Linked DNA regions of Caenorhabditis elegans. The protein of the gene in region 1 purifies or fractionates together with the protein of each later gene. This does not show direct contact. Each region holds a gene or a part of one and is shown on either strand. Other genes may lie near its edges.

What was found.
Region 2: the proteins of Y47G6A.21 (region 1) and qdpr-1 fractionate together in Caenorhabditis elegans (co-fractionation; one large-scale study listed by BioGRID). This does not show direct contact.
Region 3: the proteins of Y47G6A.21 (region 1) and etfb-1 fractionate together in Caenorhabditis elegans (co-fractionation; one large-scale study listed by BioGRID). This does not show direct contact.
Region 4: the proteins of Y47G6A.21 (region 1) and hphd-1 fractionate together in Caenorhabditis elegans (co-fractionation; one large-scale study listed by BioGRID). This does not show direct contact.

Annotation. Positions count from the first base shown.
Region 1 is NC_003279.8:3,555,276-3,564,014, reverse strand, and holds the start of Y47G6A.21 (DeHydrogenases, Short chain), read left to right. Parts: upstream 1-4,207; 5' UTR 4,208-4,218; coding exon 4,219-4,383; intron 4,384-4,986; coding exon 4,987-5,079; intron 5,080-5,446; coding exon 5,447-5,626; intron 5,627-5,683; coding exon 5,684-5,790; intron 5,791-5,853; coding exon 5,854-5,917; intron 5,918-6,612; coding exon of another isoform or gene 6,613-6,782; intron 6,783-6,841; coding exon of another isoform or gene 6,842-6,974; intron 6,975-7,018; coding exon of another isoform or gene 7,019-7,400; intron 7,401-7,468; coding exon of another isoform or gene 7,469-7,658; intron 7,659-7,728; coding exon of another isoform or gene 7,729-8,080; intron 8,081-8,133; coding exon of another isoform or gene 8,134-8,230; intron 8,231-8,281; coding exon of another isoform or gene 8,282-8,434; intron 8,435-8,739. Other genes in the region: Y47G6A.22 (DeHydrogenases, Short chain), read left to right, coding at 1,171-1,192, 1,245-1,477, 2,431-2,610, 2,662-2,768, 3,746-3,809, 3,863-4,021.
Region 2 is NC_003281.10:13,388,392-13,395,561, forward strand, and holds qdpr-1 (Dihydropteridine reductase), read left to right. Parts: upstream 1-5,518; 5' UTR 5,519-5,527; coding exon 5,528-5,611; intron 5,612-5,669; coding exon 5,670-5,773; intron 5,774-5,830; coding exon 5,831-5,954; intron 5,955-6,006; coding exon 6,007-6,275; intron 6,276-6,329; coding exon 6,330-6,459; 3' UTR 6,460-6,588; downstream 6,589-7,170. Other genes in the region: T03F6.3 (Glucosamine-6-phosphate deaminase), read left to right, coding at 1,016-1,238, 1,292-1,374, 1,441-1,635, 2,020-2,322; dnj-17 (DnaJ homolog subfamily C member 21), read right to left, coding at 2,534-2,775, 2,832-3,139, 3,892-4,062, 4,110-4,240, 4,295-4,588, 4,633-4,944.
Region 3 is NC_003279.8:2,415,521-2,423,439, reverse strand, and holds etfb-1 (Electron transfer flavoprotein subunit beta), read left to right. Parts: upstream 1-3,086; 5' UTR 3,087-3,093; coding exon 3,094-3,141; intron 3,142-3,401; coding exon 3,402-3,869; intron 3,870-4,591; coding exon 4,592-4,843; 3' UTR 4,844-4,979; downstream 4,980-7,919. Other genes in the region: F23C8.7 (Tyrosine-protein kinase), read left to right, coding at 219-597, 645-790, 841-1,035; did-2 (Charged multivesicular body protein 1b), read left to right, coding at 1,743-1,776, 1,835-1,941, 2,002-2,478; F23C8.13 (PDZ domain-containing protein), read right to left, coding at 4,983-5,069, 5,866-6,258, 7,491-7,598.
Region 4 is NC_003280.10:12,990,070-12,998,260, forward strand, and holds hphd-1 (Hydroxyacid-oxoacid transhydrogenase, mitochondrial), read right to left. Parts: upstream 6,276-8,191; 5' UTR 6,179-6,275; intron 6,128-6,178; 5' UTR 6,124-6,127; coding exon 6,012-6,123; intron 5,937-6,011; coding exon 5,869-5,936; intron 5,820-5,868; coding exon 5,737-5,819; intron 5,683-5,736; coding exon 5,091-5,682; intron 5,040-5,090; coding exon 4,728-5,039; intron 4,678-4,727; coding exon 4,560-4,677; intron 4,511-4,559; coding exon 4,398-4,510; 3' UTR 4,293-4,397; downstream 1-4,292. Other genes in the region: cyd-1 (G1/S-specific cyclin-D), read left to right, coding at 1,922-2,058, 2,111-2,485; Y38F1A.7 (uncharacterized protein), read right to left, coding at 6,975-7,235, 7,498-7,583, 7,633-7,735; Y38F1A.8 (Serpentine Receptor, class T), read right to left, coding at 8,031-8,191. UniProt on the Caenorhabditis elegans protein: Catalyzes the cofactor-independent reversible oxidation of gamma-hydroxybutyrate (GHB) to succinic semialdehyde (SSA) coupled to reduction of 2-ketoglutarate (2-KG) to D-2-hydroxyglutarate (D-2-HG).

The DNA.
Region 1 (8,739 bases):
TCGGCGACGAACGCTCACCCCGCCCCACACACAAAACTTCCTTCATCATGATTGATTAGTTTTTGAATTGAAACGGGAAAAAAAGACTGAACAAAGGGAAATATTATTGAGACGTAGAAAAATGCGCTTTTCACGGTGGTTCAGTTGCTAGATGGGTGCAAACGCACTCCACCGAACAAACGTGCATAACTTGGGCAGGAAGCACAAAATCGAAAATTCATCACAAATAAAGATAGGTATATTCATTGCGGTCATTTCTTATATGCATCGCAAAATCGATTTTGTGATGGTTTTCGAGATAGTAGCCAATATAGGTTTCCAGACTGACACGGACAACTGAAAAGGATCCGCCCCCAAACGTTGGGTCTCGTCAGGTATTGGCGAGACAACCGGGAATTTTTATGGTTTTTTGCCGATTTTACTAGTTTTATGTGTCGAAATTAAGGAAAATCAAATTAAATAACGGTTTTCCCTTTTAAATGCAATTTTAAAAACATAATTTCGATATAAAAATCTTGAAAAAACACGAAAAAATGCTTGAGAACAGGTGAAATCGGCAAAAAAGCGGTAATACCTAACGAGACCCAACGTTTGGGGGCGGAGCTTTTCCATTTGACCGTGGAGCGCGCTTGCACCTCGATTTCAAAAATCGCATTTTTCTGCATCAAAATTTTACGATTTTTTTCTCCATATCTCGACACGACAAATATTTGTTAAATACGAAAAGGTGTGCTCCTTTAAAGAGCACTGTAATTTCTCGTTTTGGAATTTTCATTGACACAGTACTCTTTGAAGGCGCACATCTTTTTACATTTAACATACATTTATCGCGACGAGACCAGGCACCGTAGCTTTGGCACAAAAATAGCAATTTTTTCAAATATCAACTACAGTAACCCACAGTTTGACATGGATTTTGAAATAAAAAAGTTTGCGCGTCAAATGTGATGCATTGAGTCATGTACCTAATGCACCACAGTTTACGCGCAAAAAAATTTGGAAAAGTTGAACTCCTGATGTGTGATGTGTTATCAGGAGCGGAGAAAACAAAATTTGTATTTTTCTCTGGGTCTCGTTTTTTTAGGATGCCGTTTATTATTTGTTTCAAAGATTTTTTTTTCAATTTTCAATTTTCAATTTTAATTTTAATTTTGATTTTGCAGGTCAACCATGCCCGTCGCAATTGTCACAGGTAATAATGACTCTAAATACTTGAAATTCCATTCCTCTCCCCTCTTTTCCAGGTGCAAGTTCTGGTATTGGACGTGCGGCGGCTCTTCTTCTCGCCCGGAACAACTACAAGCTCTCACTTACCGGACGGAATGTGGCGGCTCTCAATGAGCTCGCCGGGCAAATTGTCAGTGCTGGAAGTGATAAGAATGATGTACTGGTGACCGCTGTTGAGTTGGCTTCAGAAGAAGCTCCGAAGACTATTGTGGATGCGACTGTGCAAAAGTTTGGACGAATTGACACATTGGTGGGGGGTTATTTTTGGAAAGTTATAATAAAATTTAGAACTATTACGGGAACATAAAAATAAATAAAATTCTGAGAATTCGTACTGCACAACATATTTGACGCGCAAAATATCTCGCAGCGAAAACTACAGTAATTCTTTTAATGACTACTGTAGCTCTTGTGTCGATTTACGGGCTTGATTCTCATAATCAAGATAATAAAGCCCGTAAATCGACACAATCGCTACAGTAGTCATTTAAAGAATTACGGTAGTCTTCGCTACGAGATATTATGCGCGTCAAATGTGTTGCATTACGCATTTTCAGGATTTTGTGTTCCCGTTATAAAAAATTTTAGTTCAAAATTCTTTTTGAAAACGTAATAATTGCGAATTTTGTAAAAAAATGCACAGAAAATTATCCAAATGTGAAGTTTTGCGACTACTATTGCGTTACAAATACGGTATCTGGTCTCACCACGACTAATTTTTGCAACTTGTAAAAAGGTGCGCGCCTTTAAAGAGTACTGTATTTTCTTTTGTTTCTGCGGAATTTTCATCGAATTTTATACTTTTCGATAAAAAACTGTTTGAAAAATTAAAATTTATATATAAAAATCGAAGGAAAATTTGAAAAAATTCTGTAGTATATGCGAGTACTGTAGCTCAGTTTTGCACCCAAATTTAATTATTTTTTTTAAAATTAAAATTATTTTTGTCGCATTTCACATTAAGATTCAGAGATCTTAGAATTTTTATTTTTTAAAATTTTTTGAGAAAAAAGTTTGCGCGCTTTTTTAGATACTTTTTTTTTCGAATTTTCCAAATTTCTGCCTAAAGAGTTTTCTCATTTTTATTTTCGAGAAAAATTGCACCAACCTGTAAAAAGAAAATATGGGGATAACGAAAACATTTAAAAAAACTCTCCAACCGATTCTTGAATTATTAAACCCTTAAAATATTCTAAATTTCAGATCAATTCGGCCGGGATTCTGCGTGCCGGACCAGTTCTCGATTCTGGAATTGAAGTCTACGATGAGCTAATGAATGTGAATGTTCGTAGTTTGATCCGCCTGACACGTGCAGCTCTTCCACATATTATTACAACAAAAGGAACTGTTGTCAATGTCAGCAGTATTAATGGACCGTGCCCTGTATGATGTTATTTTTTTGTTGAAAATAATTTTCAAATTCGCAATTTTCAGTTCCCAAATGTAACCTATTACTGTATGTCCAAGTCGGCCGTAGATCAATTCACAAAATGTTTGGCTCTCGAAATGGCTCCGAATGGAGTTCGTGTTAATGCTGTTTGGTGAGTTTTCTCGCGATTTTTGCCAAAAAACTACGGTGCCAGGTCTCGAAGCGATCGATTCTCTTTAAGGAGTACTGTAATTACGATTTTTTCGGTTTTTAGGTTTTTTAAAGAAATATTCGAAAAATAAGAAAACATATACATTTCTTCCAAAAAGAAGAAAAATTGTCAAAATTTCAAGATATTTTGCGAAAAATCGGAAAAATATTTATTTTTGAAATCGAAAATATTTTTGGCTTTTTTTTTTTCGAAAAATCGAAAAATTATCGGAAAATATGAGTAAGAACGAAATCACAAAAAAAAACTAGGAAAATTTCCTGAAAATTCTAACTTTTTGCCGAATTTTCATAGGTTTTCTTGTTTTTGTTCAAATTTTGATGCATTTTTATATTTTTTGAATAAAAACGAATTTTTTAAAAGACAGGAGCTAAACTATGGAAAATTGCTTTAAAAATCTCGCAAAAACTAGGAGTAAGTAACTACAGTACACTACAGTACTCCTTTAAAGGCGCACGCACTTTTGAATTGAAAAAAAAAAGATCGCTTCGAGACCGGTTACCGTATTTTGGTGCAAAAATCGCTAACTTTCTCATTTTTTGTCGAATGAAACGCTAACAACACACGTATTACGGGAACACAAAATTTTGGGAATTCGTCTTACGCAACATATTTGACGCGCAAAATATCAAAACTACAGTAATCCTTTAACTGACTACTGTACTGCTTGTGTCGATTTACGGGCTCGATTTTGGAAATTAATTTATTTTCTTCGTTTCTTCGTATTATTTTCTCATTTTCAATAATCTTTTGATAAATAAAAAAACCCGTAAATCGGCACAAGTGCAACAGTAGTCATTTAAAGAATTACTGTAGTTTTGATATTTTGCGCGTCACATATGATGCGCAATACGCATTCTCAAAATATTGTGTTCCCTTAATAAACCCATATAAATTTGTCATTTCTCCAAAAATTTCAGCCCAGGGGTCACCGTGACCAACCTGCATCGTACATCTGGTCAAGACGAGACAACATATTCTGCGGTATAAAACCTGCTGCACTGACCTTGACAAATAAATATCATCATTTCTTTCAGTTCTTGGAACGTAGTAAAACGACACACGCACTCGGCCGTCCCGGTGATGCCAATGAAGTTGCTGAGGCAATCTATTTCCTCGCCTCTGAGAAAAGTTCATTCACTACTGGAGAACTTCTTCGTGTTGACGGAGGCCGCGGAATCATGCATCCGAGATAAATATTAGCTTTTTTGTCTCATATTGAGATTGTTTTGAACTTTTATCATGTAATAAATAGAGAGATACATGTATTTTTTTTAATTGTGTTTTTATTGAATCCTTTATAGTGGTTTTTTCCTTGCTTAATTTTTTTTTTTTTTGAAAAAAAATCGATTTTTTTTTGATTCAGTTTTGAATTTATTCAGAGTATCCGAAAATGCCAGTCGCCATCATCACCGGAGCAAGTTCGGGAATCGGAAAAGGCACGGCTCTTCTGTTCGCGAAAAAAAAGTACCAACTCTCGCTGACCGGAAGAAATACGGATTCTTTGAAGGAAGTCGCAGCACTATGTATTTCAGAGGGTGCAATTTCGGCTGATGATGTGAGTTTTATATTTTAGGAACTGTGACGGAAAGTACAGTATTACGGGAACACAGAATTCTGAGATTGCGTATTGCGCAACATATTTGACGCGCAAAATATCTCGTAGCGAAAACTACAGTAATCCTTCAAATTACTACTGTAACTCTGGTGTCGTAAATCAACACAAGCGCTACAGTAGTCATTTAAAGAATTACTGTAGTTTTGATATTTTGCGCGTCAATTATGTTGTGCATTACGCATTCTCAGAATTTTGTGTTCTCATGATAGCAGTTATCACAAAAAAATTTCGATTTTTTTTCCTCGTTTGTAATTTTTGGAAACACCGTTTTTTTGTCGAAAAAACAAAAAAAATTATTTTTTTAATTAAAAAAAACCGCCGCCATGGTCTTGACACATACAAAAAAAAATATTAAAACTCATCGAATATCAAGAAGTATACTAAAAATCATTAAAAATTACAAACACTTGCAGGTACTGTAGCTATGAATTTTATTATGTCGTTTCGAGACCAAAAATCGCAAAATTTTGCAAAAAAAGGGGATTGAACGTTTTTAGGTGGAAAAAATAGCGACATCAATTAAAAAATCGATTTTCATTCCAGATTCTGATAACTGCAGTGGAGCTGAGCTCTGATGAGGCGCCCAAAGCAATTGTGGATGCAACTGTACAAAAATTCGGAAGAATTGACTCATTGGTGAGGATATTCAGTTCGAAACAATTTGAAACTATCGAGAGAAAAGTTTTTCGGAAATTTAGAGTTTATCCATTTATTATTTACAAAATTTTCAGAAACGCGTACATAGAGGATCACGGATTTATTCGGTTGGGTCTTGCCACGAAAAATGTTTTTGCGCGGTGAGACCCAACTAGATAATTGCGTGCGCCTTTAAGTTCGTATCCCAGGAACAATTGCGGAACTACAATAGGTTTTTTTTCAATTTTATGAAGTCAATACTATTCAAAATTTAAACTTGAAAAATAAAAAACTTCACTTTTCCAGGATCCATAGTTTTTTTTTCGAGAAATTTCCCATTCTACCCTTAAAATATTCTAAATTTCAGATCAATTCGGCCGGGATTCTGCGTGCCGGACCAGTTCTCGATTCTGGAATTGAAGTCTACGATGAGCTAATGAATGTGAATGTTCGTAGTTTGATCCGCCTGACACGTGCAGCTCTTCCACATATTATTACAACAAAAGGAACTGTTGTCAATGTCAGCAGTATTAATGGACCGTGCCCTGTATGATTTTTCTTTTGGAAATTAAAAAAAAATATATTTCGAATTCGCAATTTTCAGTTCGCTGGGGTCACATATTACTGTATGTCCAAATCGGCCGTAGATCAATTCACAAAATGTTTGGCTCTGGAAATGGCTCCGAATGGAGTTCGTGTTAATGCTGTTTGGTGAGATTTAAATATTTTCATATTAAGAGCCCAAAAATTGAGAATAATTAAAATAAATTTCAGCCCAGGAGTCATTGTAACCAACATTCATCGAGCATCTGGGCAGGATGAAGCTACATATGCGGCAGTAAGTCTATTCTAACGACACGCAAGAAGTAATGGGCGGAGTCGGAAGCGCAACTCCGCCGCACGATTCTATTTTAATTAAAATTTTAACTGTTTTTTTAAAATATTCACAGCAAGATCAAATAATTAAAGTAATTCTAAAGCAAGATTTCGATTATTCAACCTGACAAATTAAGATAAATTGATTGTTTGATTTTTAAAAATGCGGAAAAATAGACGAAAAACAGTGCGGCGGAGTTGCATTTTCAACTCCGCCCATTATTCCTTGCGCGCCCTTTTCTGTGGGTCAAATTCTACACAGCGACATTACGGGAACACGAAATGCTGAGAATGCGTACTGCACATCATATTTGACGCGCAAATTATCTCGTAGCGAAAACTACAGTAGTTCTTTGAATGACTACTGTACTCGGTAGTTTGGCTCCCTTGGCGCGCGACGAGGGTGCGACTGGCGCGCGGACGGGGCGCGACTAGACTACTGTCTCGCGATCTAGTCGCACAATTTTCGCGCGCCGAGCGCATTTCTTTCGCACACACTACGCGCCCGGTTCGATTTTTTTCTCGCTCCCGCCGATTTTCATATTAAAATTGAAATCTTAGATTAATAAGAATTGCGTTTATTACAACAACGAACAATGGAAAAATAAAATTAAAAAATTAACGGATTGAAGACAGCTTGGCTGCAGGTCAATTGAATCCTAGACGGCGAGAGACTGGTGTTGCAAACCAGCTAGAGCTACTATGGCAGCGCCGAATGTGATTTTGGAGAGAAGATTCGAGTCGTTGAGGTAGAAAACACGACGGAGATGTGGATAAACTGCCATCATGGCGAGCTGCTCGAAGATCGGTGAAGAGGATTGACCAATCTGAAATATTAAGACGGTGAAACCGCAGTTGAAGCTTATAAGCTTATAAGCTAGCCTACATTGCCCGTCGAGAACTTGATTGGTTTCGGGAGCTCAAATTGTCTACAGAATTCCTCCGGCGGCACTTCCCAACGCTGGTCAACTTCTTCCCGTTCAACTTTTGTGGCAATCATGACACACGGCGTTTTTGTTCTGTAAATATTGAAATTATTGGGAATTGGATCTTGAAAACCCACCTATAGAAATATTTCTGATAAACTGTGGCGCAGAACGCGAATGAATTCGAGACATCATAGAGGAAAGCGACGACGGCCGCCGACGTCTCGCCGGACCCCAGCGCATCTTGTGGTGAGAGAACATCAACTTCACGCAGAAGCAGGTACTTGCTCTCCTCTTTCACTCGGACACGATTGATAACGAATGGAGAATGACGACGTCCTATTTGTGCTACATCAGCCATTCCACGTCCTGCTAGGGATTGCATGAAGACTGTTTTTCCAGCGTCCTTGGCTCCGACTACCAGGCATTGGAAGACTTTTCGGTCGGTTCCATGGTTTTCTAGATCCTTCTTCCGTTCACGAGTCACTCTGATCGAGTCGAGTGTATTCCCAGCACGACCTGAAATTACAAAAACTGAATAAAATGAATTTTTAATGAAGATCTTTTTTTTCAAAATTTCCACCTGCCTGGAATTATATTTTTATTGAATTGTCATTTTTTCGTGCAAATTCGTGCAGTTTTAGGTCCGCTTCTCCTCCTTTATATAAAATTTAGTGAAAATCTCCAATTTCGCGGACTTTTACGTGCCGAAGTGATCGGAAATCAGTCAAAATTGGACGGACAATAACGGAAAAACGAGGGATAAGCAATCAAAAGCTGAAATAAAATGTATTTTATTTTTTATATTTTAACCGACATCTTTGGTAATAACTGGAACCGGGCATACTGAGAAGAGATTCTGAAGTTCACTCGGAGAAAGACATCCATCGTTGTCTCGATCGCAAATTTTGAAGACTCGAATCAGTGCTTTTCTGGCGCGATCTGTCAGTTGTTTGGTGTCTGCATCGTATAATGGCCTTGTTGGGTAGATCACAGCTTTCTGGGCGTAGTAGAAGATTTCTGAGACGTTTTTCATCGTGCGAGCCGAGCATTCAACGCAAGTTTCGACTTCGGTGTTTGCCTCCATTATGGGGAGAATCTTATCAGTATTATTTGCAGTCCCATCTGATTTGTTGCCTACCAAAATGACCGGAGTCTTATGGTACTCTCCGAAGGACTGGCGAATCAAGGGTAGCCACCTGAAAATTCAAAGTTATTGATTTTTTAACAGATAATTTCAATGAAAACGTACTTTGTTTGAATTCCATCAACAGTGGACTCGTCTGTAACCGAGTAGACGACACAAATGACATTCGCCTGGCGGATTTCCAACACAATCCAATTTTCATCTGAAAATTGATTGAATTATTTGATTTACATGTTTTTGGCAATTTATTTACCTTCTTCCTTAATCGATAAGTCCACGATACTCGTACAATTCCGAAAAGCTTGATTTTAGAGATACTTTTGTTATTGATGGAACAATCGGTGAAAATTTCACGGTCACCATATTTAACTTGAAGAAAAGCCCTGAAACTATACACTTTAGGCATGTTACTGTACAAAACAAAAAGAAAATAATATTTTTACAATGTTGGAAACAATTAAATAAAAATTATCGAAAATGTGCCAAAAAATTATAAACTGCAAGCGTAATAACGGATTGTCGTTCGTGTTGCGCGGACGGGGCGCGGAAGGGGTGCGGAAGGAGTGCGGAATGGGCGCGGATGGGGCGCGGTCAGAACGCGGACGGCGTGCAAAAACAGTTTCTCTTCGCGAACCTGTTACTTTCAGACAGCCTCATTGCCAAAACAGGTTGATATATATATCTTCACTTATATGTTATATATGTATGAAT
Region 2 (7,170 bases), on another chromosome or scaffold:
TTTTTTTTAGTGATTAAGCATCAGTCTTGAATCGAGAAAAATAATGTTAAATTTCAGAACAAATAAAACACATTAAAAATGTTAAAGGTAAATTGGTTTTTTTTGAGCTTCCAGGCTCTCAGTCTTTGAACCCATAAATGTTATCAAAAAGTTGCATAAAGACCCAGAAATTCTACAAAATAAGATAACAGGGAGTTTGAAATTACAGTACTCTTTAACGGCGCGCACCTTATTATAGTGAGCAAAATTTTGTCGTGTCGAGACCGGGAACCGTACTTTCGTGTTCAATTTTGCAAACTTCGCATCCGGGTAATAGTTTGATTTTGATTCCTCACTCAGATTCATTGAAATACATAAATATAAACATTTTATTAGGTCTCATGTTTCCCCCACTTTCGATAAGATATTGTTGTTTGCGAAAATTCGGTCAATTATCAACAAATTGTTCGATAAGATAAGCATTGACTGCTCTTTAAAACTGCACATTCTGGCCAGTTTTCGTTTATTACGATTTTTGGAACGATTTCTGGAGTTTAAGAATTTTTTTCGATTTGCAATGAATAGAATTTCGAAAGTTGATGTCAAAGTGAACATTTTGACTTTTCTACAGTTCCGGTTCAGCAGTTTTTCCGGCGCCAAAAATAGGTTAAATGCCGCGAAAATTGTCAGTTTTGTCTCACTTTCGAAATTTCGAAACATATTTATCAAGAACGAGGCTGTCATTTTCAGTATTTAAATTTGATTCGATTTCACTATTTTAACTTTACCATTTTTCCTACATGGCGCTCTTTTGGAATTCTTTGAAATTAAAAAAAAAATATTATTTTGAAAAAAATAATTAATGAACAAGTGTTTTCCCTCCAAGACGCAAGAATTATTTTTCTGTGTGCGCCTTTAAAACTTACAGTAAACCAGACGGTCAAATTTCTTCATTTTTATTGAAATTATTCAAAGTTTTCTGATTTCTAGAAATTTCTTTTTTTTTCCTAATTTTCTAATTTGATTTCAGCCCAGAATGAAATTGATTATCGAGGAGAACGCCGATAAAGTCGCCGAATTCGCTGCTCGATATGTCGTTACAAAGATCAATGAAGCGACTGAAAATGGAAAATATCTCGTCTTAGGACTGCCAACCGGCTCAACTCCACTCGGAATGTACAAGAAACTCATCGAATTCTACAATGCCGGAGTTATCTCCTTTGAAAAAGTGAAAACTTTTAATATGGACGAGTATGTCGGTGAGAAAAATTTGATATTTCTTTAATTAGTTGAAATTAATAAATATTTCCAGATCTTCCACGTGACCATACAGAATCGTATCACTCCTTCATGTTTGACAACTTTTTCCGACACATTGACATTAATCCAGCTAATGTAATTTTTTTGATTTTGTTGTTTTTTTTTTTTCGCCAAATGTGGTTCCAAAGTCAATAATTTCAGATTCACATTCTCGACGGAAATACGTCTGATCACGAGAAGGAGTGTGAAGAGTACGAGCGTAAAATCAAAGAATCTGGCGGAATCGATTTATTTGTCGGTGGAATTGGTCCAGATGGCCATATTGCGTTCAATGAGCCCGGAAGTTCGCTGGCAAGCCGTACACGTATCAAGACCCTCAACGAGGATACAATTCAGGTGCGCGCCAGAAAAATTCTCAATGGAGCGCGCCGTGTTGTGTCGATTTACGATTTTTCTTCAGTTTTGTCGGAAAAAATGTTCCATTGACAACAATAATCCGACGAAATTGAACGAAATTTGTTGGAAAACGTCAATCATCTCGTAAATTGACATGTCACAGCGCGCTCCAATGAGAATGTTTCTGACGCGCGTTTGAAAGTCGTCTTAAAATAATTGAATTTTTCGCGCTACATTGACAATTGCCTGCTGGAAAGTCGTGTACTCCACACGGACAAATACATTTAGCGTTGCAACTAAACCCCGGCCTTGGCCGAGTCAAAATGAGCCAGAACCGCGTGTGCACATAGATATTTGGAATCAGGAGTAAAATAATAATTCCAGGCTAACGCTCGTTTCTTCGGTGGAGACATCACAAAAGTGCCAACACAAGCTCTGACAGTCGGCGTCCAGACTGTAATGGATGCTCGTGAAGTGATGATTCTCATCACAGGATCACACAAAGCGCTGGCTCTTCATCAGGCAATCGAATGCGGAATCTCTCACATGTGTACGGTCTCTGCGATGCAGATGCATCGATGTGCAACGTTTATTGCCGACGAAGATGCCACGTTGGAGTTGAAAGTGAAGACGGTCAAATATTTCAAAGGATTAATGAATCATCATCGTTCACTTGTCATGTTTTAATCTGTATTACTTTTTTTCATGTACCCTTCCACTAATTTTCACTGTAACTTTCACTGTAACTTTGAATACTAAATATTGAACATTTTGGTACTCATTATTTGCCCATTATTCTTCCCGAAACATTTCAATAAAATTGAATTTTGAAAAATATTTATTAAACTTTCACAAACAAAACAATTAGAACAAGAATAAATACCAAAAAAAAAATGTTTCACCAATCCTCATCATCCCCCTTATTTCCACGTTGTCCCTTCTTATTTTTCGCCTTCTTCTGTCCTTTTTCTCCTGGTTTGTTGATGAGCAACGTGGCGTGTCCGGTTTCTTGTAAATGAGCAAATAACCTGGTCCGGCTATCGAATACCTCACGGCATTTATCACAAATTGCAGATTTTGGTTCAGTTGACTTCGGTGCTTCTTCCTCTACTGTCGCCGATGGGTTTTGATTTTTATCAGCTGAAAACAAAATTTTTGTTTTTGTTTTAAAGATTTTGCAATTCTACAAAATGTACCTCTTCTCTTCTTTTTCTCTTTCTTAACAACTTCCGGGGTACATTCCTTTTCCTCTTCCTCCGGCTGCTCATTTTCCACGGGCGGCGCTTCCTGAATCTCGGCTTCTACTGCTTCTGTTTCTTCCACATCAAATATTCCATTCCCCTTTTTCCTATCCTTTCTCTTATTCTTCTTTCCTTTCGGTGTTTCGTCGGGTTTCGGTTCTGCTTCGGTGAAAATCGTGGAATCTTCTTCTTTCATATGCTTTTTCAGCTCATTCAGCTGACGGATGTGTTGCTTCGAGTTCTCATGATTCAACTTGGCGTTTCTGAAATTAAGTTTGAAGAATATTATAGAGATGAATATAATCAGACTTTTGAAATTGAGGTGCAAGCGCGCTCCACGGACAAAAGTTGGGTCTCGTTAGGTAGTGGCGGTAAATCCATAATTTTAAACGTTTTCAATATTTTTTCGTATTTTTTGTCTCTCACTTTTCTTCAAGGATTTTCATTTTTTTCTAAAATAATCAAAAAATCAAAAAAATTATTTTTCAGAAAATTGACACACAATTTCAACTTTTTTATAAAGTTTTGTATATTTTGATAAGAAAAATTAGTCTTTTTTCTTTTTTTTTATATCGGAAAATTACATATCGATTTTTTTTTAGTTTTGGTTCATTCCAATTCGAAAAAAAAATTCTCGATGTTTTTTTAAAAATTTTTTCAATATTTCAAAAAATTTGATTTTTAGAAAAATGACCTCAAATTTTTCAATTTTTCTTCTTTTTTTTCATTTTTTAAACGTTTTATTTAGATTTTTCGATTTTAAAAGATCAAAAAAAAATTTTTTAAAGGAGTTCCGATAAATCTATAATTTTCGTTTTTCAATTCTCAATGTTTCGATTATTGTGCATTTTTTAAGCTTTTTTTTAAACAAAAATCGTTTGAAATTAAGGTTTTGCAGCCAATGCCTAACAAGACCCAACTTTGGAGGCGGAGCGATTTAATTTTTCCGTGAAGCGTACTTGCATCTCCATTTCAAAAATGGCATTTTTCTGCGTCTTTATAATATTCTGCTTACACAGTTTTGAACGATTTGCTACAAACAACACAATATGGAAGTTCTTCTCCTTCTTCATCACATTCATCACTACAAGTATCGTAATCCTCGGCCATTTGTAGACTAACTTCAATCAAATGAGCAAGACGGGCTGCCTCGGCTTCTTTGTCGTTCAGATATGAGTTGGCTAGCCTGAAAAATTCAATTTTTTCCTTATTTTTCACAATTTCGGAACTTACTCTTGATTTTTGGCGATCTGCTTTTTTCGATTATCAGCTTGTTTCTTATGTGCTTCCAATTTTTTTTGCTCCAAAATTTCCCTATATGCTTTGACACGTGGATCACGTTTTCGAACAAAAGCGACCAGATTCTGAAAAATTTTGTTAAATTTAAATTTAAAATTAAATATTCCGGACAATCATACCCTAATTTGCTCGTTCCTTTCCTGCTTTCCGACATCCCTAAACTTCTTATTTTCCTGATCGATTTGCCGTGATTCGAATCGATTTGAAGCCTGTGTGATATCATAATGATCCAGCCAGGCAAAAGAGCGAGTTGTCGAAAAAGAGCTCCAAAAACCGTAGAAACCATTCACAGTTTGCTCCAAATCGGTATCCTTGTCGCCAAACTCTGGATAGACTATTGTTGAATCGTTGTACGCATCATATTCCTCAGAAACTAGGATATTGAAGACTTTCCGGTAGACAGTGAAGAAGCCCTGTAATTTATAATTTTGATTTACTTTTTAGATTTCATTCTCACATTTTTATCGTTTTCATATCCTTGATAGCAAGAAGCGGTGAAATAGGGGAACAAATCCGTGGATTGTTCCTCGAAATCCGTATTTTTTCCCTTCAGAATACTTTCTCTATGTCTATCGTAAAATTCGCGTTCTCGTGGATCACTCAAAACGTCGTACGCAGCTTGAAGAAGCCTAAATTGCTGAGTACACTCTTCGATGCGATCCGGATTTTTGTCGGGATGCCATTTGAGCGCTAGTTTTCTGTAGTTCTTTTTGATTTTATCGTCATCAGCGTCGCGTTCAACTTCGAGCACTTCGTAATGGCATTTCATAGCTGAAATATTTAAAATTTACTCTAAATATGATTTTATTTTATAAATTGAAATGAATAGTTCATGCGAAACCATTTAAATAATAATAGAAACAAGAAAAAGAATTAAATGAAAAGAAAAAGTTATCTATCGTCTCTCCTTTCCACACGATGTCTCGCCATCTACATTAGAGCGCAATTGTAAAAAAATAATTTCCTATATTTTTTCCCACGATGTTTTGACGAATTCTGAGAAGCTAATTCACATTTTCCTGTTGTGATTCATATTAAATGTTGTTGAGCTAAATAAGAGCTATCGATTGATATGTCTGCCAAATTTCTTGCAAAAATATAACTGATAAAACTCTCGATAACAAAAGTTCGTTTCGAGTTCAAGCTCGGAAACCGATTTCCAAAATGTTGTTTCATCTTTATTTTCCTGAATTCCATCAAGTTTTCCCTCATTTAACATTAAAAATCTGTGTCTCTGATCACTCGTTGATACCAGTATCACATTAAAATCGTCCTTGACGTCGTCCACGCGGCCAATTTGTCCTTCAACCTCCATATTGTCATTCTTTACTTTTTCCTTGCAGTTTCGAACAATGTCCAGTGGAAAAGTTATCGTATACGGAGGCAAAGGCGCACTTGGATCTGCTATTCTTGAATTCTTCAAGAAAAATGGTTATGTAAGTTTTAAAAGAAATTGAATTAGGATGTTGTAAATTAATTTTCATTAATTTTCAGACTGTTCTAAACATCGACTTGAGTGCCAATGACCAAGCTGACAGTAATATTTTGGTGGACGGAAATAAAAATTGGACAGAACAAGAACAATCCATTCTCGAGCAGTAAGTTGTATTTTTAATTTAAAAAAAAGCTACCGTAACCTCATAAAATATTTGCAGAACTGCTTCATCTCTCCAGGGAAGTCAGGTTGATGGAGTTTTCTGTGTTGCCGGTGGATGGGCTGGAGGCTCCGCTTCTTCAAAAGATTTTGTGAAAAATGCTGATTTAATGATCAAACAATCGGTAACATATATTAATCCTAAACATCTGGTATTATTCTACCGTGAATTTTCAGGTCTGGAGTTCAGCAATTGCAGCCAAATTGGCCACCACTCACCTCAAGCCGGGAGGTCTTCTTCAGCTTACAGGAGCTGCTGCTGCTATGGGACCAACTCCATCAATGATTGGATATGGTATGGCAAAAGCTGCAGTTCATCATCTGACATCTTCATTGGCTGCCAAAGATTCGGGATTGCCTGACAATTCGGCCGTTTTGACAATTATGCCAGTCACTTTGGACACCCCAATGAACAGAAAATGGATGCCAAATGCTGATCATTCAAGGTAAAATTAAATTACTCTTTTTCTTTTGCATAGTTTTCTATGTTTTTTTTTCAGCTGGACTCCACTCTCATTCATCTCTGAACATCTTCTCAAATGGACCACAGAAACATCGAGCCGTCCATCTTCCGGGGCTCTCCTCAAAATAACCACTGAAAATGGAACATCGACTATCACTCCACAATAATTTTACCGACATTTTTCAGCCTTTTTTACATTCCGCTTATTATCTGTTATTTTTCCATGTAGTATGCTATCAATTTCTAAATCATTTGTCCATAAAGCTTGTGATGTTTTTAAGTAAAAATGTTTTATTATCTAGATGCGAAATATTGCAATTTTTCTGCTGAAAATACGGTACCGGTCTCGACGCGACAATTTCTTATGGTTTTTTTTTAGTTCCCTATTTTCTTTAAATTTATAGAAAATTCTACGGCAACAAAATGTTACAAAATTACAGTACTCCCTAAAGGCGCATCCCTTTTCGAAGTTAATCAAAGTTTGTCGTGTTGAGACCGAGTACCGTATTTTCGGGGCAAAAGTAAAAATTTGCTAGAAACTCGCAAAAGATTTTATACAAATTACGTTGAAAATAACTTTACCAAAATATTATGAATTCAGAGAATGGAAAATATACCTTGGAAGGGGCACACCACTTTTGCGATGGGTCCTGAAACGATTTTAATTAAAAATCTACAACATATTGTTCATGCTCCTTTAAATTACCGAAAAATTGTTTTTTTTTTTCGTTTTCTTTTTCAGCGTATTATTACATAATTCTTGTCCCAAATCTTTAGTTTAATTCGTCAATTCTCACCATATTGATATGACAAGAAAACAGAGAAACCCGCAGTTTATTAGTCACTCCCATATCATTTTCTCTCTTCCAATTCTCCTC
Region 3 (7,919 bases), 1.1 Mb from region 1:
ATTTCAAGGGAAGCCAGAAGCGTGCGTACTCGCGAGTACGGTAACTGAGAAAAATTTTACAGTCGTGGTGGGACCCAGGTTACATGAAAACGCAATGATTTCTCACTGAAATCTTGTGAAAAATTGAAAAATAGAAGAAATTTTGAGTTATTTTTTCTGAAAAACTCGAAAACTCCTTTTAAATTTCGATTTCGCCCAAAAATTTAATTTTTTTGCAGCATCCAAATGTCGTTAAATTCTACGGAGTTGGTGCAAGCCAGGAGCCGCTGTACGTCATCATGGAGTTGGCGGATTGTGGAGCCCTGGACTCGTACCTTCAGAAGAATCCGAATTTGGTGCCCGACAAGAAGATGGAGATGATCTACCAAGCAGCGTGTGGAATCTCGTATATGCACGAGAAGAAACTTCTACATCGAGACATTGCGGCGAGAAATTGCCTGTATGGAGGTGGTCAGGTCAAGATTGCGGATTTTGGGTTATCCCGTGAGGGAATCTCGTATGTCATGGACCTGACGAAGAAGGTTCCGATTCGTTGGTTGGCTCCGGAGACGTTGAAAGCGGGGATTTATAGTCCGAAGACTGATGTGTTTGCGTTCGGTTAGTCTTTCCAATAACATTTTCAAATAAAATAGACATTTTTTCAGGAATAATGGCTTGGGAGATCACTGAGAATGGGAAGGAGCCGTACCCAGACATGAGAGTTGCTGACGTCGTCGGAAAGGTCCGTAATGGATACCGCATGCGGTTTGATCCGGTCTTTGTGGACTTCAGATTCGGCGACTATGTCACGGTTGGTTTGAATCTGAAATTATAGCTAATTACTAATTTCTCATTTTTCAGAAGCACTGCTGGGCTGAAAATCCGGCGGATCGTGTGAGCATGGCGGATGTTCTGCGCTATCTTCAGACAACTTTTGGGATGAAGCCAGTGGTTCTATCGATTCTATCGAGCAATCGCTCGACCGAGGAGGAGATGAAGACGATGAAGCCGCCAATGTTCTCGGTGAAGAGAAACAACAAGAAGAAGCCGAAGTGATCTTTGATTTGTTCGGAAATAAAGTTTTGATAGTTTTGACTTGAGATGTTAATAAAATTGTTTTATTACCCTGAGAATTCGAGAGAAGAATACGGTACCTGGTCTCGAAACGACAATTGTTTGTTAAATGCGTGAAGGTGTGCGCCTTTAAAGAGTACTGTAATTTAAAAATTGCGGTATTTTCTTCAATTTTTTTATTTCTTTTGATTTGTTAAAACATATACTGTTTTTTGTTAGTTTATTGATGAATAAATTCAATTTTTTTTACAAAAAAACTACGAAAAGTCGATAATTACAGTAATTTTCAAAGAAAGGCGCACAGATTTATTCAGATTGGTCTTGGCACGCAAAAAAGTTTATGGTAGTTTATTTTTGTGCGATTTTATCTATCGGTGAAATTACGATGTTAATTTTTTCAAATTCATATAGCGGATCTGGAAATATTTTTGACGTTGATAATTTTGTGTTTTATAGCCTGAAACCGACTTAAAATACAGAAATTTCTACAACCCAAAATTGTCGTAAGATCCGCTGCTTGCGGACATCAAGTGTCGTCGTTTATGACGTAAAGTCCGCAGATACACACACATGACTCATGAATTTGTTTTTATCGCTTTCTTGCGAAATTTAACTTATAAAAGCACTTTCTCACCGTAATTCTCGTATTTCAGAAACTCAAATACCAGCTTAATACACATAAAATCATCATGGGAGCCGGAGAAAGCAGTATGGCCTTGGAAAGTGAGTTTCAAATTGATTTCTCTTGATTTTGACTTATTTTCATGTTTTTATCTTCCAGAACACTTATTTGATCTTAAATTCGCAGCGAAACAGTTGGAAAAGAATGCTCAACGATGCGAGAAGGATGAAAAGGTCGAGAAAGACAAGCTGACGGCAGCTATTAAGGTAAAAAATAATTAAAAATGAAAAAAAAAACAATTATTTTTTAAATTCGATTTTTTCCAGAAAGGAAACAAAGAAGTCGCACAGGTTCATGCTGAAAATGCGATCAGGAAGAAGAATGAAGCAGTGAACTACATTAAAATGGCCGCCAGAATCGACGCAGTGGCCGCCCGAGTTCAAACCGCCGCCACACAAAAACGAGTAACCGCCAGCATGAGCGGCGTAGTGAAAGCCATGGAAAGCGCCATGAAGAGCATGAATCTCGAGAAAGTTCAACAGTTGATGGATAGATTCGAAAGAGATTTCGAAGATCTCGACGTGACCACAAAGACGATGGAAAAGACGATGGACGGAACGACAGTGTTGAATGCTCCGAAGTCACAGGTGGATGCTCTGATTGCAGAGGCCGCCGACAAGGCAGGCATCGAGCTCAACCAGGAGCTTCCGTCAAACGTGCCAACTGCTCTGCCGACCGGGACGCAAGCTGTTTCAGAAGACAAGGACCTCACAGAACGCCTGGCTGCTCTTCGCAACATGTGATCTTCCAGATTTCTCAAGAAATTTCTGTGAATATGAATATTCTGCTGACGGTTTCATTTTTAAAATTAAGATACTGCTTTTTTTCTTGTATATACAACATTTCTCTCAATAATGAAGCAACAATTTTTCTGCTTTTTTTTTGTTTTATCTAATCTATCTAGATCTACGAAGTTCAGCTCATGTCTTCTTCGAAATATTTATTCTTTTATTTTTCAGAACATTTTTTCTACAAATCGGTCGCTTACGTGTAGGCCACAACAATCACCGCCCGCGTTTCATTCTCTGCGTCTCTCGTCTTCCCACACTCTCTCTCCACATCGTCTTATCTCTCTCATCACTTGTTTTATTATTTTTATTCTTATTTTTCACGAATTTTCTATAAAAAACGGAATTTTCGAAGGTTTTTAAGGAAAAACGTGGCAGTTTTAAAGCTATTTTAAACATTTTTCGGCTAAAATTTCGAATTTCGGCTTTAATTAATTGATTCAAATTTAAAAATCAAATTCTGAACTCTGAAGTGTGTACTTTGACCCCGCCGCCGCTGTTTTTTTCGATCATTTCTTCATTTATTAATAAATAAATAAATTTATTCCCAGTTTTTCTTCCAGCCAAGCGATGAAGATTCTCGTCGGAGTCAAGAGAGTTGTCGACTATGCTGTCAAGGTAGGATTTCAGGAAAAAGAGCAAAAAATTCGAAAAAACAGCTTAATTTCGGCGAAAATCTTGAATTTCACCAACTTTTCCGTGTCGCAGCAGTTGGAAATCAGTTTTTTGTCATTTTTGGCTCAAAGTGTACCCCAATCAACGGAAAATCGATTAAAATTGGCAATAAAAGCTGATTTCCAACCGCTGTGACACGGAAAACTTGGATAAATTGGAGATTTTAGACACATTTCGATTCTATAAAAGCCCAAAATTTCCAGATCCGTGTCAAGCCGGACCGCTCGGGAGTCGTCACCGAAGGAGTTCAACACAGCATGAATCCATTCGACGAGATCGCTTTAGAGGAGGCCGTCAAGCTCAAGGAGAAGAAGCTCGCCACCGAAGTCGTCGCGTTCTCGCTCGGCGGACCAAAATCCGCCGAAGTGCTCCGGACCGCGTTGGCGAAGGGCGCCGACAAGGCAGTTCACGTTCAGGTGACCGACGCCGAAGCTGGCAAGCTCGAGTCATTCCACGTGGCGAAGGCGCTTCAGAAGATTGTCGAGCAGGAGAAGTTCGACGCGGTTTTTCTCGGAAAGCAGGCAATCGATGATGATTCGTCGCAAACTGCTCCGATTCTCGCTGGCCTGCTCGAGTGGCCACAGGCTCTCTACGCGTCGAAGGTTGAAGACGCAGGCGCTGGACACATGAAGGTCACCCGTGAAATTGATGGAGGTCTTGACACGATTAAGGTGATTCTTACTATATCGATCGATAGCCGTGAAAAGCAGCCCCGCACAGAACGCGAGACGGGGCTTGATATTGCAACCCTGCGGCACGGTTTTTCCTTTTTCCGCTTGTTTTTTGTTTGATTTTTTCAATTTTTCATGTTTTAATCTCTTTTTTCGAATGAGAACGTTATTTAATTTAAAATCAAAATTTATTAATCGATCCTTAAATTTTGCAAAAATTTGTCGCACAGAAAGTGGGGCGGAGCGTAGCTTACGCAACACTGCCGCACGGGGTTTGTCTCCGCCCCTTTTCCACTGCTTTTTTTGTTGATTTTTTCAATAAAGTTTCGATTTTTCTCTTTTTTTTCGAATTGGATTTTCATTCGAAAAAAAAAGAAATTATTGAAAAAATCAACAAGAAAAGCTTAAAAGCAGTAGAAAAGGGGCGGAGGCAAACCCCGTGCGGCAGTGTTGCAAAAGCTATGCCCCGCCCCACTTTCTGGGCGACAAAATTTCTTGCAAAATTCAAGGATCGATTAATAAATTTTGATAGTTAATTAAATAACGTTCTTATTCGAAAAAAAAGGAGATTAAAACATGAAAAATTGAAAAAGCGAAAAAAGGAGGAAAAACCGTGCCGCAAGGTTGCAAAATAACGCCCCGCCCCTATTTCTGCGCGCCGCTATTTTGTTTGCAAAATTCACGGATCTAAAGTTTTATTCGAAAAATTTTCTATTTTCCAGGTCAAAGTGCCATTCGTCCTATCCGCCGATCTTCGCCTCAACGAGCCCCGCTACGCGACTCTTCCAAACATCATGAAGGCCAAGAAGAAGCCACTGAAGAACATTCCAATCAAAGATCTGAATGTAGATATCACACCACAAACTGAAACTCTTGAAGTCACCGAGCCACCAGTTCGCCAGGCCGGAGGATTCGTCGACGATGTCTCGGCACTTGTCGCCAAGCTCAAGGAGAAGGGATTCGTCAAGGCTTAAGCCCCCGATAACCTCTTCCGCCGCTGAATTATTGTAGTAGTCGAATCAGAAAATTTTGTATTTAAATTATTTTTATTATTTTTTCTATTCAATGTTTTATGTGATGCAGGTTTAAAAAAGTATGAAAAATTATTTTTGTTCATAAAAGTGAATAGCTTGAACGGGAAACGATCAAAAAACGGAATGCATTGTTCACAAAACCATGGGAGAATTGGTGTAGGTAGATCTGGAAATATTACGGATTATTATCTGGGCGCGAAAAATTACGCGCCCCGCCCCTAAACGATGGGTCTCGTTAGGTAAATATTTGGCGGCAAGACGGGAAATTCAAATGTTTTACATTATTCTTGCCAATTTTTAAGCTTTTTTTCATATTTTTTATAAGTTTTAGGTCGAAATAACGATTACTTCCGACGATTTTACCCGTTTTCAAGCATTTTTCGTTATTTTTTATGTTTTTATGCCGAAATTATGGTTAAAAATGATTATGACATTAACTTTTTCAATTTTGACAAAAAAAAACTCATTGAAAACAGCGAAAAATGCTGGAAAATTGGCAAAAACGGTTTTCCCGCCAATTCCTAACGAGACCCAACGGTTTGGGGTGGAGATTTGTCCGTGGAGCGCAATTGCACTTTATAGTATTACGGAAACTCACACATTCTGAGAATGCGTACAGCGCAGCATATTTGACGCGCAAAATATGAAAATATCTCGTAGCGAAAACTACAGTAATTCTTTAAATGACTACTGTAGGCCGATTTACGGGCTCGAATATTGAAATGAATTTCATTTCGAATAGTGACAAAGATATTCAATTTTTCTTCGTTTTTCAAACAAAAAATCATTTTCGTAAATCGACACAAGTGCTACAGTAGTCATTCAAAGAATTACTGTAGTTTTCGTTACGAGATATTTTCATATTTTGCACGTCAAATATGTTGCGAAATACGCATTCTAAGAATTTTTAAGTTCCCGTAATATTGGAATTTTTGGAATGAAAAAAAAAAAGAAAAACTTACCATTCTAGTCTGAGAATTGCACTGGGGACATATGGATTTTGAGGGCGATGATGTGTTGAATGACTCGTATTTCGGAGATTTCATGCGGAACGACGTCGAGTCCCCACACCGGAATACCTCTGCCGACCTTGATGACGTCATCCGTAACGTGGCTCGCCCTGAAACGACGTGTCGTGTCTGCTCCCGCTGCTCATTGCACATTGAGAGCCTCGCCTGCCGCCGACGCCGCATCATCACACTCTCACCGTCGGATCTTCGTTCGATCAACAGAGTCAGCGAATCGGAGCGGGACATCCAGAATCGGAAGATGCTCGCCGCCTGATCTACGGAAACGGCGCGAAGTGAGATCTTGTTGCACCGGAGTAGACGATCGCCTTCTCGAAGATGTGTGCTCTGGAAGTTTTTTAGAATTTTTTTCGAAAAAAAAAGTGACCCCTAACTGAATTATGAGTGCAGCTAAGCATGTTGAGCTCAAGAAAAAAAGAAAAGAAAAAGTAGCGGCCATCCAATTATGTGTACCCGCGGCTCATCGGACTTGAGCGAGCCCTATTACTCATTCAAGTGCTCACTAAATTGGCTTTTTCTTCTTCTTTTTTCTTGGGTCTTGCCGCGATTATGCACATATGTGTATAATAATTTTTCCCCTATTGTGCGCCTTTAAAGAGTACTGTAGCTTCAAAGTTTTGTGGGATTTTTTTTGATTTCTCATAGTGTTTCGTTAAAAATCGATTTTTTTAATTAAAAAATTACTGAATTCGATTTTAAAATTTTTTGTTAAATATAAACGGGTGAGCGCCTTTAAAGGGTACTGTAATTTCGAACTTTCGCTGCTATGGAATTTTTTAAATAGATTTTTCGTAGTTTTTCGATAAAAATATATTTATTTATTTAAAAAAAGAAATAAAACAAAACATAAAAACTACGAAAAAATCGATGCAAATTTCATAGCAACGAAAGTTTGAAATTACAGTACTCTTTAAAGGCGCGCATCCATTTTTATTTAACAAACATTTTAAAAATTGAATTCAGTTTTTTAAATAAAAAAAAATCGATAAAAATCCCACAAAAGTTTGAAACTACAGTACTCTTTAGAGGCGCACAATAGGGGAAAAATTGTATGTGCATAATCGATAATTGTCGTGTACACGTGGTATCAGAGTGTCTCATTTCGGCTTGATCTACGTAGATCTACAAAAAATGCGGGAGAAGAGACGCAGAGTTCTCAACTGATTTTGCACGTGCTTACGTCACATTTTTTTAGGCAAAAAATTTCCGCATTTTTTGTAGATCAAACAGCAATGGGACAGCCTGGAACCACGTGATCGTGTCGAGACCGGAACAACTTTTTGGCTCCAAAATCGAGAAATATATTGATCTACAATTAAAAGAAGAATGTTTAAAACAACGAAATTTTCTTAGAAAATTGCGAAAAAGTTTCGATCGTGCCAGGACCACTAATAGCAAAATCACAAGGGGACATTTTCGGCATGGCCTAGAAAAAAAAAAGAAAACTCGGCCATTAAGAAACATTATCAGCTTCCAGCTTTCAAAGGACAGTAAAAATTAATTTAAGGAATTTCGCTGGCCGAGTTTTTGCTTTTTCTAGGTCACGCCTCAAAACACACCTGCGGAGAATCCGGATGAATATAATCGACAAATATCCCTCGACTCCGGCTCCCAACCATTCGAAACGCCATTCCATTTGGCTGCTCTGTATCTCGTGGGATTGAAATCTAGAATTTTTTTATTATTTATTTCCTCGATTTTATTTTCCGCGAGAAAACAAAAAAAAAACGCGAGCGTCTCTCATCTTTAATTCTCGTATTTTTCTGACATTTCAATTCCCTTGTTGAATTGGGAATTGGCTGAGCTTAGGCGACTACATGAAGAATGCGGAATGGCTTCTGAGAAGAAAAAATGCACAACAAGAGGCGCCCGGAATTTCCAGTATTACGGGAACACAAAATTCTGGGAATGCGTATTGTGCAACATATTTGACGCGCAAAATAAAAAATATCTCGTAGCGAAAACTACAATAATTCTTTAAATGACTA
Region 4 (8,191 bases), on another chromosome or scaffold:
TGACCTAGGTTTTAGCGCCTTTGTTAAGGCTTCCCACCCCCCAACTACAGATATAAGATACCAAAAAGTAAGTGAGTCAGTACCAGGTACACAAAATTTTGTGCGTCCTCTTTGTTCTCAAGCCGTCCTCCTCTGTGGTGACACACTGAGACGCTAAAAAATGACTGTGTGTGTGCGCGTGTGTGTGTGTGGGGTAGTACAATTTTGCAATTACTCTTAAGAACATCTGGGTGAATATCTGAATTAGAAGAATATGGCTGTAAATAGTGACATGACAGCCCAGGTGGCCCGGGTTCAATTATAGATAGCTATCTCCCGGGCGGCATGGCTTGGGGGGTGAAATTAGTGGGCTCTTAGGGAAACCGTTTAACTGTTGCGGATCACTTGACACCCGAAACAATTAGAAGGCGACTCCCCTTAAACACATGTCGCTTTAATCCCGGCGGTTGAAGTGACTTCAAAGAATAGGCTCTACAGTAGGCAATACCTTTTTCAAAATGCCCTTGTACCTATTGCCCAATGTTTATTTGAACAAAACTTCCGATCGGCATCGCCTTTGGCAACTTGATAGCGTGATGGAATGCTCTGATCGATCATCTCGCAGTGTTTGCCCCCCCCCCCCCCCCCCCCATATCCTTCTGCCTTAATGGATGTTCAGTTATCCAAACGGATTAGGAAAGTTGTGTCCACCTGGCGCGTGCCTACCCGTTGATTTATACATTTGGAAGATTTGGGCTAGATTATGAAAGAATACCGTGTGTGTGTGTTTGTAGGTATGTATGTATGGGGGTGAAAAGGAGTGAAATCTGCGCTTCTTGATTTACGATGACGAGCCCCCGTGATGTTGTGCCTGTTGTTGCGCGGCCCTCACACACAAAGAAAAGTTATGTCGCAATCTGCTCTTCCAAGACACCACCGATGACAAGGGATGTATATCATCTACATTAATGTTATGACAGTATGGGAAGGGTCATCTCTCTGGGGCAACTGATGACATTTGAATTTGAAATTTGAATGGAGATCATCGTATAATAATGAATGTTTCATCAGCCAAGGCCTAATTGATTGACAGTGCCCCCGTAGTGGAATTTGAAAAGGAGCAGCTGAAGAAGGAGTCATCAATCGTTGGACATCCGTTTGACCGATATATAAATTCATTCGCGGTCGATTACTTTTTTATTGGGATTACGGAAGCGTGTGCCATCCTCATTGAGGAGGATGAGATGCTTCCCAGATTTTCAAATATCTTTACATCATCACCATCATCATCATCGTCTACCAGCTGTCATTTCGGGCGGTCTATTCAATTATGCAACATGACCGCGCGATCCTACACATACTGTCAACAGGTGCTCGAGGCTTAAAAGGAGCATAGCCTAATTGCGCATGTTTGAATGGGCTTCTGGTGATTTTTTTGACGCAAGGCATTGTGAAGAACGTGTGATGTCACAAGCGGTTTGGAGAGTCGGTTTTGAAAAAGGAGTGTGAAATTACATGAAAATAGCACGACGACCTTCCTCTACAGTAGGCAAAGTTTATGTTAGCACAAGATAAGCGTTTTACCTCTCTCTCTCTCTCGGCAGCCAGCCCGTTTCAATTTCAAAATTTTTGGCGCGTCAGACCCCTGGAAGATATGTATGAAGGTGTGAAAACGCGCACTTTGAGGCAGAGAGAGTTCCACTGATGTTTCAGACGCCCAGACACTTAGAGACTTGTTCGTAGATAATCATCTATGTCCTCCACAGCCACCCTCTTCGATTTTTCTTAATGATTGAAATCGAAACCTTGAGGCGCGAGCGAGCGAATGATTGGCAGAGGGAACAGTGATGAATGGGCCAAGGGGGGAGAAAAGATTGAACTTAAATTTTGGAATTTTGGAATTTTAATGATAAAATCAATAATATGAATATTGGTTTTTCAGTGCACAAACTTGCCACCTTATTCCCATCCATGCAATGTGCAATTGGCCTCTACTACGTATCGAATCTCCCAACACAGAATAAGGAGCTGGCAGTAAAGATCAAGGATCTCTTGGCAAACATGTTCCAGTTGGAAGTGGTTAGTGAAAAAAAAATCAGCACTTATAATTTCTTATCTAAACCTTTTCCAGAACCTTCTCGACTCGTACATCCCGATGGTGCAGCGTTGCATGAGCACAACGCCAATCTACACATCAGAAGATGCTGAGAAGACGGAACCGACACCATCCGCGCCGGCCTCCACTCAAGAGCCAGAGGCCTTCCAAGAGCTCAAGGAGCTCAAGGAAGAACCCCTCCCAACTCCACCACCAGAGGAACCTGCCTTCCAGAAGCTTGTGCTCCTCGAGCCGATCCCCCTCTCCGAGCAAACTCCATCAACTCCCCTCAACGACTCGGGCTTCTCGTCTGATGTCTCCAGCCCCGCATCCTCAGAGAAGAAGCGTCGTCGGAGCACAGACTGGTTTGAGGAGGACTCGACGCCGCCGAAGATCTTCAAGACTTTATGAACATTTGTTACCCATTATTTTATGCATTGTTTAGCTTCTATGTCGATTCGAAACCAAATCCCAAAAAATCTCAAAACACATCCAGTCTTCCATTTTCTATGTAGCTTTTGCATTATTTCCTAAACTTTAATTTTTAAACCGGTGTTCCCAACAAATCTTCCAGTTTATTATTCTTATTATTCTGAAAAAAATAATATATATATATATTAAAACATTTATTCTAAGTTATTTCCACCTCCCTCCCCCTCTCCGAGAGTTCGGATGTGCTCGAACCTTTTGTTGGATTTTCCTATGAAATTCCAACTGCTTCCTGGTTCTTGTCACATCCACGACTTCGTTTGTGATTAGTCAAATCCTGCCCAAGCCTCCTCCCAAAAATTAATCATTTCTATACTAGAATTCCCACTTGCTTCTTTCATCTTTTTTCCAGATCCCTCTTGCTCAATTCGCTTCCTACACCCAATTCTGATGACCATTGAAATTACTTGTATTGTACAAAAATTCTCGCTGTTTCGATGATTACTTTTTTCTATTTGTGAAATAATAAAGATTCCCCACAACCACCAAACATATATTTCACTATTTACCCGGAATCACCATATGACGTTGTTTGACCCTTCGAGGTTGTGACGTCACACAGACCCCCACTTCTAGAGTTGCGTCAAACTGCAAGCTCGTGAAGCGAGCACTTATTCAAATCTTGACCATAAGCGCAACATACATTATTAGCATCTGTTGATGACGTTGAGCTTGCGCTAGTAGAAGATCAGAGATATGTGAAGCAGGTGGACGGGCCCCTTTTTTTATAAAACAGTGCAAAAAAATTTGTTTCTTGTGACGAAATTGAATTTTTTCCAGCAAATCGGCAATTTCTGTAATAATAGACAAAAAGCAAAGTTATCTAAAATCTCCAAATTGTGCTTGAAAATCGGAAAACCGCTTAGTTTTCATCTGGAACTTGTCTAGAACTGGAGAAACACGTGGCGTCAGTGTGTCCCATGTCGGTTTGATCTACGTAATTGCGGGAATTTAGACGTAGACTTCTGAACTGGATTTGCATGGCTAAGAGCGTGATGACGTCACATTTTTCTGGGTTAAAAATTCCCGCATTTTTGTAGATCAAAACGTGATGGGACAGCCTGGAGAAAGTTTTTCTTACAAGCCAGAACACCTACAATTAAAAATTGCCAATCTGTTATAGATTTTCAAATTTTTCAAAAGTTGTAAAAAATTTATTGGAAAAAAACCTTCTTATCAATTTTTCAAATATTTTAAAAGCCATAAAAATATTTTTTTAAATTTTTAGCAAAGTCTCAAAATCTAAGTTTTGTTTTCAAAAATATAGAAATTTTAAAATTATTTGTTAAGTTTAATGTTAGAAAAGTTCGTGATGACATTAATGATAATGAGATATGAAAATTGACCATTTTGCCAACGAATTCCTAAAAAAATTCAACCTTAAAATATGCCAAATTTCCAAAAGAACCCAGTGTATCGCCGTACCTGGTCTCCAAAATCCTGCTATTCTCGACAATTCTCTCAAAACATACATAGATCCTTGATAACAGCCAAGGCCAAAAAGCTTTCAGCAACAAAATTCAAATATGCCGGCACGCCGCGCTTCAAAGGACATTCCTACGATTGTTTGCGTGTCGCGTAGTAATGTTTCTTCGTTCTTCCCCGCCTCTAGTCATCCCTAATTAGTACAGTAAGCCGGCAATATTTAAACGGTTCCTTGAAGAAAAACGGGGGGGGGGGGTGAAGGATTCTAATTATTCTGGTGACACCTGGCGCCATTGTTTTGTTTCTGTTTCTGTTTCTTTATTTATTCTAAATACATTTACATTGAACATAAGAAACAATAACGTATATGGTACAACCAATAATAAAATAAGTACAATAAGAAAAATGACTAATAAACCGTAAGGGACTTCTCGTACAGAGTGCTGATAATTTCACGATCCGCAGACTTTGGAGAGATTGCAATATTTGGGACGGAGTGGCTGGCTGCTTCAGTAAGCATTTCTGAAAATAGTATAATATAAGGCAGTTCAACTAGAGAGAGGTGTTCTACCAATATCAGAAAATTCGAATCCCATTCCTTTCAGTCCATTTGGAACTCCAAAGTCTCGCATATAACCTCTCAGCCGATCACAAAGAGTTCGGGAAATGTACTCATTGCTGGCATTGTTCTGGAAATATCTAGTTAGTTCAGAACCATCTTGGTGGCCAATTTACATACCGGAATATCTGCACCAAGAGTCTGTGCAGAAATCAAATGTCTATCTGGGCACGCGGCAGTTGTAAACTCGAAATCAGCCACTGCGGTTGTCATTACAGAGAGTCCATGTGGAATCAAGTTCTTCTCCTTTGGATAATCATCAGCCACACAGCTTTTCGCCTGGGAGCTGATTGGGTAGGAGAGTCCGTGGCAAAGATGAACCCCAGCGTTTCCGAATCCAATCCCAGCAAATGAACTAGCCTTGAGCATTTCTGTACGAGCTTCTTCGTCGGTTGGATCGAAGATAGAACGGCGGAAGTATTTTCCAATGATCTGAAATTATATAAATTCATTTAGAGCTTCATGGTTGAAATTCCAACTCACTCTCAAAGCCTCTTTACTCCAGACATCACTGATCGGGTTGGAACCTTGATAAAGTGGACGAACTCCTGGATTCTCAGGGCGTGGAGATCTTTGATCGAATGGCAAAGCTGTGAAGCTTTCCAACGCGTGACAGAGAACATCGAAACCAGAATAGATTGCCACGTTTCGAGGCATACTCATCACATTCAACGGATCCACAACTGCCAAGTACGGCTTGATGCAACGAAGTCTGATTCCAGTCTTGCACTTGTGCTCTGGAAGATCCATGATTGCAGCCGCGGTAGTCTCGGATCCAGTTCCAGCAGTTGTTGGCACAGCGATCAATGGGAGCATTGGGTTCTTTGGTTGCATGGATTTTCCGAATGGTGGTCCAACAAAGTCGAGGAAGTCCGCTTCTGGATTAGAAGCATATAGAGCTGCAGCCTTCGTCGTGTCGATCACAGATCCTCCACCAACAGCGATGAAACTATCGAATTGCTTCGATTTGGCAAATGCGATTGCTTTCTGCATACTGTTGACGGTTGGCTCAATGAGCACATCATCAAACACCTCATACTCGATATTCACCATTTTTAAGGCTTGCTCGGCGTTTCTAAAATTTGTCTGTTGAATAATTTTAGAGCTTTAAAGCTTTCCTATAACTCACTTAAAAGCGATCGTATTCTGCACATTCTTATCAGTGATAAGCAACGTTTTCTTTGCTCCGAGATTACGGACGTCGTATCCAATCTGATAAAGTTCACAGTTGAGTTAGTGATGTGTGATATTGCTAGCAAACCTCCAACGTGACTCCTTTTCCGAAACGAAGAGTTGAGCACACCATCTCGAACGCGTAATCTGTTGACTCTGAAAATATTGGTTTTTTAGAAAGTTTTCAGGCAGGCACGCCTACCTGCGTGCCTGCTCGGGTAAAAAACTAACTGTTATTTCCATGAAGCTTTGCAAGTTTGAATGGATTTGTAGCTGGGGCATGGTGAGGACAGCATGAGCCGCCCATCTTGCTCAGTATTCCACGTGCCAGACTTGCACTCATTTTGCTGAAAAAAAGAAAAGTATAAAACAATTGCCACGTGCCAACAAAAACTCACAAATAAAATGTCGTAAACGCAATGAAATCGAGAAATAAATTGATTCGTAAGGTTTTTATTTAAAGAATTTAATTTTTAAATTCAATAAATAAATCGCGCCAACAATAATTATTATCACGTTTATGTACAAACACGTGGAGAAATAGAGAAGAAAACAAGTGGAATGGAGGAGAGAGGAGAGACGCAGACGGGCAAACAGCAGTGATCAGTTTTCGAACATTAATGTGAGGGGAAGATGGTTTGATCTGAATAGACTCGTGGGCACAAAAGTTGAAATTTTGGCTTGCAAGCTAATTTCAGCTTTTGAAATCTTGTTTTTTTTTTCAGAAACCAGCAAGATGTCGGCTGCTAGAGGCGCTCCAAAAATTAAGATTTACAGGTTTCTAAATTAGTATTTGAACCCGGAAAGTGTCGGCTGCAAGACTATTCTTTCAGTTGTCTTGGACGGGCCGACGTCTCACGGGTTGCTGAAGCTATGAACCACATGAGCTCAGTTGCTGGTAGAAGCTTGTAGTTGTAATCTTGTACGAGATTCGAACTCGGAGATTAGTAAGAGTTGGAAAATGACAAATTTTAGATCATGAAGAAAAACAGAAAATCGCTAAATTTGTCAAAACGTCTCTGAAATTGGCAGTCTCCCCCGCCCTAGATTTTTCAGGATTCCAACTTTTCTCATGGTTATGGCTGTTTTCAGCCTCCAAAGTCATTTATTACACATCCATAGTTTACAACAGAAAAACACTAGAATAAACAAAAAATAAAATAAAAACTAGACATCGAGTTCACTTCTGAGCTTTCACGGATTCGCATTGTAGAAGACATTCTTGTTCGGCTGCTCCGCTTTTCCAGGTGGCGCCATTGCAATGTAGTGAACCATCGGAGCAAGTTGCTCCGGCTCCATCAAAATCTCAACTGGTTTTGGAGCAGAATCACCTGCCTTTTTCGGATCCTTTGGCAGAGCAAATGCAGATGAACCATTGGGGTTTTTGTCGAATTTCTCCCGCAGCTCGTTGAGGGCATACTCGGTTTTTGCCTTGTAGTGGAATCGAATGAAGAGCTGGAAAAGAGAGAATTAGATAGATTTTTGGTAAAATTTTTTTGTGTGCATGAGAAACGCTAGCCTATGTGCCTACAGTACGTGCCTGCAATTGTTTAAAAAAGGAACAAGAACTTTTGGATATGAAAAACGTAGAAAAACGATAAATTGTAGTTCAAAATATCTCAAAAACAAAAATTCCTGCTCAGGCGTCGAAGGCGTAGGCAAGTAGGCAGGCATTTTCATATTCCACAACACAATAATCTTGTAGCCAGAAACTCACATGAACAGCTAGAAAAATGACAATCATGACCAGGATAATAGCCATAAAAACGTCAACTGTCTCCTGAACTTGACCAGTCACAACACCTACAATTTTCAGAACTGTTAGAGTATGAGATATTGTGGACAAGCTCACTCAATCCATCACTGTACGGGCCATTTTGAGGATCTGAAAATCCAAGGTTTAAGATGTTGAAGTCCAGGAGTTTTGGCTCCAAGTCGAGCAGTAGTGGCTCCATAATTTGTAACTTTTTTCAAAACTCACAATAGCTATTTCTGACGAAAGTGAGGTTAGACATCCTCCTCGAATTGTGAAAACTTTGGAAATACATTTTATTTCCATTTATTTGGATATATCCACGTCAGATTATTTTTGTTGTTCCAACTCATTCTCTTCTCAAAATATAAAATATTTTTTAATACAAATTACACGTTTTTATTCACTGATTGTAAAATTGTAAACTATATGTACAAACACTGGATTGGGGAACCCGTTGAAATCGAGGTTTAAAATCTACAGAAAAAATAAAAAGTTTAGACGAAATCCTTCCGAGGTAATGCTGGAGCCATTTTCGTCACTGACTTGTCAAGCTCGTTGAGATTGCGCTGCACACTTTTGATTCCGATTGTGATGCGAGTTTTGGGGAATTCAAAGTAGGCGATTGAATAGAACAAGGAATTACAGCCAACTTCAA